Neurospora crassa OR74A: one gene and its partner. The protein of the gene in region 1 interacts with the protein of each later gene in a pairwise test. Links are inferred from orthologs where the notes say so. Each region holds a gene or a part of one and is shown in the gene's direction. Other genes may lie near its edges. The genes, in order: cdc15 and NCU08878.

The links.
Region 2: the proteins of cdc15 (region 1) and NCU08878 interact in a two-hybrid assay, tested with the Schizosaccharomyces pombe proteins (3 studies listed by BioGRID). The link is inferred for Neurospora crassa OR74A from reciprocal best matches to the Schizosaccharomyces pombe genes cdc7 and spg1.

The regions. Positions count from the first base shown.
Region 1 is NC_026505.1:3,692,696-3,697,307, reverse strand, and holds the end of cdc15 (cell division control protein 15), read left to right. Parts: coding exon 1-263; intron 264-315; coding exon 316-770; intron 771-840; coding exon 841-1,482; intron 1,483-1,550; coding exon 1,551-1,829; intron 1,830-1,890; coding exon 1,891-2,101; intron 2,102-2,161; coding exon 2,162-3,915; 3' UTR 3,916-4,555; downstream 4,556-4,612. UniProt on the Schizosaccharomyces pombe protein: Protein kinase essential for cell division. Plays a key role in initiation of septum formation and cytokinesis.
Region 2 is NC_026505.1:35,265-39,604, reverse strand, and holds the start of NCU08878 (TEM1), read left to right. Parts: upstream 1-1,442; 5' UTR 1,443-2,288; coding exon 2,289-3,059; intron 3,060-3,120; coding exon 3,121-3,195; intron 3,196-3,247; coding exon 3,248-3,346; 3' UTR 3,347-4,340. Other genes in the region: NCU08877 (glycine cleavage system H protein), read right to left, coding at 1-51. UniProt on the Schizosaccharomyces pombe protein: GTP-binding protein essential for the induction of septum formation at G2 and pre-START stages of mitosis. Acts via the cdc7 protein kinase pathway.

The DNA.
Region 1 (4,612 bases):
GAGGAGTGATGCGCCGATATCGAAAGCACCATCGAACTTTATTCAGGCCGTCGAGGAAGTCAAGCAGTGGAACAAGGCGCTCAAGTCATCGGAAGCCACCCCTAGAACATCGATTGGTTCAGATCACGGAAATCCTTCCACGCAGAATAGAAATGCTTCTGGCCAACATCGTCCAAATCTCTCTATTTCGACAAAGGTGCCCCCACAGCAAGCGAAGCCGAAGGCGAATGCAGAGGTCTTTAGGTCTCCTGCGGTAGAAGCTGGTGAGTATCAAAAAATCAGGACGTGAAAGTTCTAGCTGACAGATTGTGACAGATGATGATAACTGGGACAATGACTTTGCCACTGCAATTTCACCTAGTGCGCTTCACCTCCCTCACATCAAAGGCCAGGATAATTTTGGAGGACTACTTTCCAGCGATCGGCTCAAAGCGTTTGCGTCCATTGACAGCTCGCGGGAAGATACGGAGAATTGGGACGAAGACTTTGGCGGAGAATTTGAGCAGACGATTCGTCCCTTGCCGAAACGGTCAGATAGGGTGTCCGATTCCAAGTCTTCTCAGCAAGGACATAGGCGGCAAAGGAGCAGCAAAACCACGATTTCAAGCGCCTCCCAGACTAAGTCGCCTGTGAGGACGCAGTTCGGAAACAAGTTTGAACTTCCACCCCGTCCTGAATCAATCTATCGTGAGCAGTCTACCGAGGATTACTCTGATCTCTTTGGCGATACGGACTCTGTCTTCAGTAGCCGGCTTAATGTTGCTGTCAAGGTAAACCTTCTCTCTCCCTCTTTGTCGCCTGATCCCTGTCGCCAATTTGCTGACCGTCTTGCTTTTGTAGGACGCCCCGCAACTATTTCACCCTTCTGATCTCACTAGTTTACCGCGCTCTACGGCATCACCTGTCAATGGCAGCAGCGGGCGGAGACAGTCAGCTTCCGCGCGGTCACCATCAGCCCCTGAGAAGCCCGCCGTCCGAAGGACAAGGATGACAGTAGAGATCACAAAGTTTGCTGAAGACGAGGGTGATGAGGACTTTTCGGACATTTTCGGGGCCGAACCGGAAAGCTTCACAAAGCCGCCCAAGAGCGATGAGGGATCAGAAGATGGCCATCAACTCATGCTCCTTTCCAAGTTGTCCAACAATTCTTGGCTTGGGGACGACGAAGATGAAGACGACCCCTTTGCGATGATGGATCCAGGCTGGGATGAGATGGATCTCGAGGCCAATATTGCTCGTGATAGACATGCTAGGTTGGCCGAGAAGGTGGAAGAGAGGGTCAAATCTTTGAAGCCGACGGAGAGTGAGGATATACTTGCTGATCTGGCTGAAGACTTGCTCAATCTTCTATGGGAAAACAGCGAGGTCAAGGATCTCATCATCAGTGCACATGGGTTGCTACCGATCCTGGAGATCTTGGAGCCCTGCACAGTGAAGAGTCGTCAGCACATGATCTTGCAGCTGCTGAAGATCGTCAATGCGGTAGGTGCCAATATCAGTGTCCATATGTGAAAAAACTCTATGGCTGTCCGAATACTGACTGCGAGCAGATCATATTGGATGACGTCGAGCTGCAAGAGAACTTGTGTTTCGTTGGTGGTATCCCTATCATCACCAAGTTCGCTGCTCGGCAGTATTCGAACGAAATCCGCTTGGAGGCCGCAGCCTTTGTTCGGCAAATGTACCAGACTTCTACCTTGACGCTGCAAATGTTCGTCAGTGCAGGCGGTCTCAATGTCTTGGTAGAGTTTCTGGATGAAGACTATGACATGTCGCCAGACCTTGTTCTTATCGGCGTGAATGGCATTTGGAACGTCTTTGAGCTTCAGGTAAGCCTTGTCCTTCAACACATGTCTTGATGTCAAGAAATCGTGCTGACTGTCACTCTAGGGCCCAACCCCAAAGAACGACTTTTGCCGCATATTCTCGCGAAGCAAAATCTTGGACCCATTAGCTGCAGTGCTGCACAAGGTCTTGGATGAAGATGATAGGGATGAGCTGTCCGAGCTGATTGAAGCTCGCATCGTCAACATTTTTTATCTCTTCTCGCAAGCTGAGAACTATGTGAAGGAAGTCGTTGCCGAGCGCTTTGTACTCAAAAGTATGTACCCCTTATCATTATAAGGCCGGGTCAGTTGCTAATTACCATCACTCAATATAGCTGTCCTAAAGGACCTCAGGCGGATGACACCTGCTCACCAAATCACTATGCTCAAGTTCATCAAAAACTTATCCATGCTGTCAACCACGTTAGAGTCATTACATTCCGCTGATGCCATTGACTACTTGATCGACGTTTTGAGCAACTCGATGAAGAGAGGGCAGCAGCATTTCCGCGAGATCTCCAATCAAGTGCTCAACACCATGTTCAACCTATGCCGACTCAGCAAGGAGCGTCAGGAATACGCTGCCAGCAATGGTATCATTCCACTGTTGCTCAAGATCATGAAGACTGATCGGCCGCCCAAGGAATTCGTCCTCCCTATTCTCTGCGACATGGCGCACTCGGGCAGCAAGGGCCGAAGATATTTGTGGCAGAACAATGGGCTGGAATTCTACGTTTCGCTCTTGGCAGATCAGTATTGGCAAGTCACCGCGCTGGATGCTATCTTTGTCTGGCTAGAAAAGGAGACGGCCAAGGTTGAACACCATTTGCTCGACGGCAACTTTACCACGGCGATCACGTCTTGCTTCAACACTAACAAGGCAAATGCTTTCGACGCCAACCTTCTCGAACCGCTTCTGAAGCTTGTACGACTTAGTCCCTCTGTGGCAGCATCACTTGCCAAGGTGGAGATGTATGCTGGTATCGCCCAGAAACTGAGCCACAAGAAGGCCGTTGTGCGCCTCAACTTGCTCCGTCTCGTGCGCAGTATCATGGACGGCTGCGAAGTCAACAACACTCCCATGGCGACCCTAGCCACTTCGACTGCGGGCCGTGCGCTGCGTGTTCTCTTTGACGATATACAAATACTGGCAGATAAGGATCCAGCAGTATTGGTGCGTAACTTGGCATCGGAGATCGTTAGAAGCCACATCGACATCGACCTACAACACGACGTAGCAGCCTTGGGCGCACTAAATATGGGCGCTGGGCCCTCGGCCATCCCCAATCCGCTCAACAACCTGAGTTCTGGACCACGCTCGCGGTCTGGCCCCCGGCGCAATACTAGTTATACACCGCCAGGCTTACATGCCAGCATGTCCATGCCGCCCACACCCACGCACGGTCACCGAGCCTCGCATTCGTCTTCGGCCGCATACATCGAAGTAGCATCAACGCCGAAACGCTCCGGAATCTCCCTAGCCCAGGAGCGCGAAGCAATGTATCGGCCGCACAGCAGAGACGGCGGCGTCCCGCTGATCAATATCCCACGCCGAGTTAGCCAAGACACCTCAGCGGGCATTCCTTCGTTGTCCTCATCCATGGGCTCGGCCGGTGGCCTAGGGACGCCCTCAAGGATGCGACTGCCCCGCATGTCCATGACGCAGTATAGTTCTCCTAGACCGAGTCTATCATCTGCCGCCACGGCGCCCGGAGCGGTCTCAGCGACGGGCATGGGGATAGGTAACTCAAGCATAGCGAGCAGTCGTGCCGAGCGTGAGCGAGAGCGAAGCGAAAGTTCACTGAGTAACCATAACAAGGAGAACTACGGGCGGATAAGGTCCGGATCATCAGTTGCGGGTCCCGAGGCGAGGATTCTCGGAGGAGGAGGGCTGTACTCGGTCTCGCCGACAGGGAGTGCAGTGAGCTTGTCCAGCAGTTTTCAAGGTAGTGGAGGAGGAGGAAGTGAGGGGTTCTCACGCAGCTACGGAGCGAGGGAATCATCGTTCTCCGTTATGGGTGGTAGTGCGGGCGCCGGAAACGCTAAGCGCAGAAGTCGAGCACCTAGTTCGGACATGAGGTGGTCGTAGGACGGTCATCCTCTGTTGCCGAATAGTAAGCAGACAACTGTTATTGGTGATGGCTCTGAGTCTGGTGATAACGAAAGGCAGCGTCTTGGTAGTGCTCGTGGGACTGGGAGCGAGGCGGGAGTTTCTACTTCTTCGTCTACGGCGCCGAGTACACCTACTAGTAGCGGTGGCAGGATTATGGGTGGGAAGAGTGAAGTTCCGCTTAGTGCTTGCGGGAAAAAGACTGCTGGTGGCAATATCGCTTCTGGTAGTAGTAGAGAGGGCGTTGTTCGTCCTAGTTCTTCTGGCGCTGGCAGTAGTGGTGGTGATGGTGGTCTTCAGCATGGTCATGTTAGACAACCCAGACGGGGGCTATTATTGTCTGGTCGAACGAATTCGTATCCTGTTCCTGCTTCGGCGGTTAGAGATGATAGGAGAAGAAGATAAAATAGTGTTATGGATAAAAGAACGATCATGACCACTCACTGAAATAAAAGGGGGAAAGAGGAAGAGGACGGACGGAAGGAGGCGTTACTTTGCTCATTTTTATTGTGCAGGATATCTTTACAGGGCATGTATTTCATCCAAGATCGTTAGAAGACCTTCACAAGAAGTAGAAGTATCCGTGTTTGGGAATTGGTGAATATATCATCATGGGAGCTACGAAGAGCATTTGACGGATGATGGGTAGATATGATGTACCAGTCAAGCAGACGGG
Region 2 (4,340 bases), about 3.7 Mb from region 1:
AGAAACGACGGAAGGACGAGCAATCCGGAGGCAGCGAGCAATGGAGGCCATTGTGACGGTCGGTGGTTTGGGCGGAGGGGGGGTGGACGGAAGGCGTGTATATCGGCGTCGCTTGGTGGTGTCGCAAGTAGTTGTTAGTGCTCAATCCAACCTATGCACCGGCCACAAGTCAGAAAAAGGCACAGACAGAGACGGGACCCGGGGTACATCCGCGGTACTATCGAATGACGAAAACAAAGTGCCGGCCACCCGACAAACGGCTAGACTCGGGGCCAGCAGCTGTCAAGGCCGGCTTGCCAAGACCACAGAACCGAGCAGCGGGAGATGTCGAATGCAACCCATATTATGTAAGCGCACCAAAAAGCAAACCATAGCCGGGCCATCAAGGTGGAACGGGCCGGATCTGGGGAAAGATCAACTGAAGAAAAACAAAAGCACGTCACCGGGCAACACATGGCAGACCGGACTTGCAAATGGATGGAGTGAGTGTCCACTGTTTTGAGTGCCCACTGCACCCCTTGGCAAGGAGCTGAGGCAGCATGGCACTCGGCGCGGGAGGGTGTGAGCAGTCCGTCGGTTCAATGGGCAATAGGCAAAGACGTTGGAAAGGCGCAAGGGGAGTGATGTGCCATGGCTTGCTCCAACATGCAGCCCGCCATAGGTTGATGCTTCCGATGAGGTTCAGATGCTGCAAGGGCCCGAGTGTGGATGTTCTGTTTACATATTGGAAATTTGTTGTGGACATCCATTGTTTTGTTGGAGTTATCGCCATCTTTCTTGCTCATCAACGGTTCAGTTGCCCGATGTGCACCACACACAACTGAAATAAGCCCCTCTGCCGGTGTCACCTTGCCCTTCTGCCACTCACACTGCATCATCTCAAACATACGTGACTGCTGTGTTGCCTTGATATTGCCGGGTGCCAATCTCCCTTCAGCTGTCAAGGACTTCCATGTTGTTCTGGCGCGGGGTTCATCTTAATCGTGATTGTCATAGCAATATCTCGGGGCCCAATTTGGAAACTCAAATCGTTCGACGTGGGATGCACTGCCCGCCTACCCATCTCCACATGCTCGCTCGGGCTTGTCGTCAACACAGCTGAATGTTTTCTTAGTGTACAGTTTGATGGCAAACGGACAAGGGAGCAGCCGCAAGCGCCGCCGCGCACATGAGGATTGAGATCTCATCTTGACGCCAACGAGAGGACCCCAGGGCAGTCCAGTGTTCGAAAAACAGGCGCCTAGCCCAGCCAAGCCAAGCGCTAGCGGACCCACAATCTGCGATCTTTAAGTGGAGTCTTGGTCTGATCAATTCCCTTCGATTGGAGCTCCTTCCCCTTGGTCCGTGCGTGCCCAGCTAGCTTCATCGTGTGTACCTATCGTCACTCTGCTGCCCGTCAGCGCCGCCAGCCCTGCACACGCAGTTGCGGGAGTGTCTAGCCTCTCTGGAGGGTCGGTACATAGCCATAGGTACGCCAACATCAATCCGACGACTCCTTGCATAGCATCTCGCAGCAGCAAGCATTCAGTCTGAATCCACTTCCATCAATCATTCATATTCCATCTCCATTCCCACTTCACTTCCATCCATCGATCTTCCAACCCCAGCTCGTTGCTGCAGCATCACTACATACACTACATACGACTCCGCCCGCACTTCAGCTGCCATCGGGAATCCATTCGTCGCCGTCCGCAGTCAGCAGCAGTCTCCACAGCCTCGGTGAAACAAACCCACAGGGTGCCCAGCAGGTACATACATACCTACATAGTCGTCGACTTATCGCACGATCCCCGATTGCGTTGCATCTTCCACGGCCGACCCGGCAAACCACAATTGTCTGTCTCCAGGTAGCAAAGCAAGAAACGAGCAACATACAAGCAACCATTTACAAACCACTATCACGCGCCATATACCCATCCTTTTAACCAACGGCCAACTTATCCGACCGCGCCGTCTCAATCACCAAGACCAACCTTTTCCCTCCCCTCGTCCCATCTCGTGCAGTCGCCCCTCCCCCCCGCTTGCCGCCCGAACCCACGAGGAAAGCGTTATACGGGGTTTCACCAAACACCACAAACGGACCACGACAAACCGATTGCTGGATCCCTCCCGTCCGACCCCTTTCCGCTGGTCTTCGTCTCGCCCGCACAGACAACCCAGCATCCCAGGCTGAACCTCTCTGTCTACCTACCCCTCCTTAGGCCTCATCCATTGTCAAGCTGGACTTATCGCCCTTCTTCGCCGGGTCCCCGGACCAGTTCCTCGATAACAACAACCACAACAGCAACATGGACACCGTGGTGATGGATCACGATCAAACCATTAGCCCAAACGAGGCTCAGCTTCCTCACAACAACAACATTCCAGACGACAACATGGGTGGTCTGGAGGATTCACCCCAAATAACACCCGACCAAAACGGCTTCCCAGATCGCCATTACCAACAGCAATTCGATCAGAACCTCAACAGCTCACCACGGTCATATTCCCAACACGACAACTTCGACTCAGACCGATATGCCACGCCACCAGCACCCCAGCCTTCAACGTCACGACCGCCCTCGGGGCTCGACGGCCAGAACCCATCCCAGTCCGCAGAAAACGGCTCGCGGACAACCGCCGGCGGGAGTTCCAGCGAGCAAGCCAACGGGCGCAATCATGTCGTGATCAAGGTCGGCATGGTCGGTGATGCGCAGATTGGCAAGACAAGCTTGATGGTCAAATACGTCGAAGGCAGTTGGGACGAGGACTACATCCAGACTCTGGGCGTCAACTTCATGGAAAAGACCATCAGCATCCGCAACACCGAGATCACCTTCAGCATCTGGGATCTTGGCGGTCAACGCGAGTTCGTCAATATGTTGCCGCTCGTGTGCAACGATGCTGTAGCCATCCTCTTCATGTTCGACTTGACCCGCAAGAGCACGTTGAACAGCATCAAGGAATGGTACCGCCAGGGGCGAGGATTCAACAAGACGGCCATTCCCGTCCTTGTAGGCACAAAGTACGATCACTTTGTGAACCTTTCGCGGGAGGAGCAGGAGGAAATCTCCAACCAGGTAGGATCCGTCATTTGTGCGTATACGGCAAAGTTCCTGCTTGCTGACGTTACTTTTCCAGGCACGGCGATTCGCCAAGGCCATGCGTGCGGCATTGATCTTTAGCAGCACCAGTCACAGCATCAATGTCCAGAAGGTACGTCACACTTTGTTTGCCGCAACTGGTGCATGGTCTGACTGTTTCGCAGATCTTCAAGATCGTACTATCCAAAGCCTTCGATCTAAAATGCACAATTCCTGAAATTAGCAACGTTGGCGAGCCACTTCTCTTGTACCAGTCGGTATAGGTTGATGAGTAAATTCGACGCTGTCAACCGTCTTCGCGACAACTGTGCGAGCGGCCTCCTCCGACGATCTGCAATTTGCATTAATACCCCTGGCTGGTGTCGGAGCGACGGCACATGTTGAGTACCTGTAACGGTCACTCGACAGCGACGTGGGAGACCCAATTAACGGAATACCGAGGCGCGGTCCCCTTTGCATATATTTGCTTCGAAGCCCCTCCCCCCTTTTCCCGTGCCCGAACACCCTCGAGGCAACTCCACTCATCAGGACAATCGCATTTTGTGATTATTTAGTCCGTGGCTTAGCAAATAAAGCACAATGGAGGACGGCAAATGGGCATGGGTCGTGATAAAAACGAGACATAATAGTCTTTGGAGTCCGGTTGTAAGGAACGGCTGGCGCAGGACCGATCATACCAAATTGGGCATCTCAATCCGAAATACGATGGGGAAGGGTATTCTATACTATGAATACGGAGCGCAAGGAATACGTGGGGCGCGTGCCTTTGGCCCTTCAGGCGTGGCATCGTCCCCGGTACAGGTAGAAAGGGACTGGATGTTCATTCTTTGGTAGTATGTGTTTTAATTCCCTGTTGGCAGTCAACATATCGGTATTTTCCTGCACATTCTTTGCCTTCTTCTTGCTCTCCAAGCCGATGGCACGAAACACTACCCGCCTCTCCCCGCAGACGTTCCGAGACATCTATCATTTTTTTTCAACGTGTCGCCTCAAAACTGACACCATGTATCTTCCGGCGTATGGAGTGCTCAGTCGGTCTACCATAGAACCAGCCACTTGACCAGAAACAAATGGCCACGGAGGCTGTATATGCAAAACATCATATATCCGTTACCAGAATCATCTGCTGAATAAAGTGCCACTGGGGTTGGGACAACTCATAAAGGTGAGCTTCCTCCTCTGCAAGAAGGAAGAGCACGTAGGCTGCGAACCGAAACGACGTACACTACAAGGTTCTGTCCTCACAAGATCGGTTTC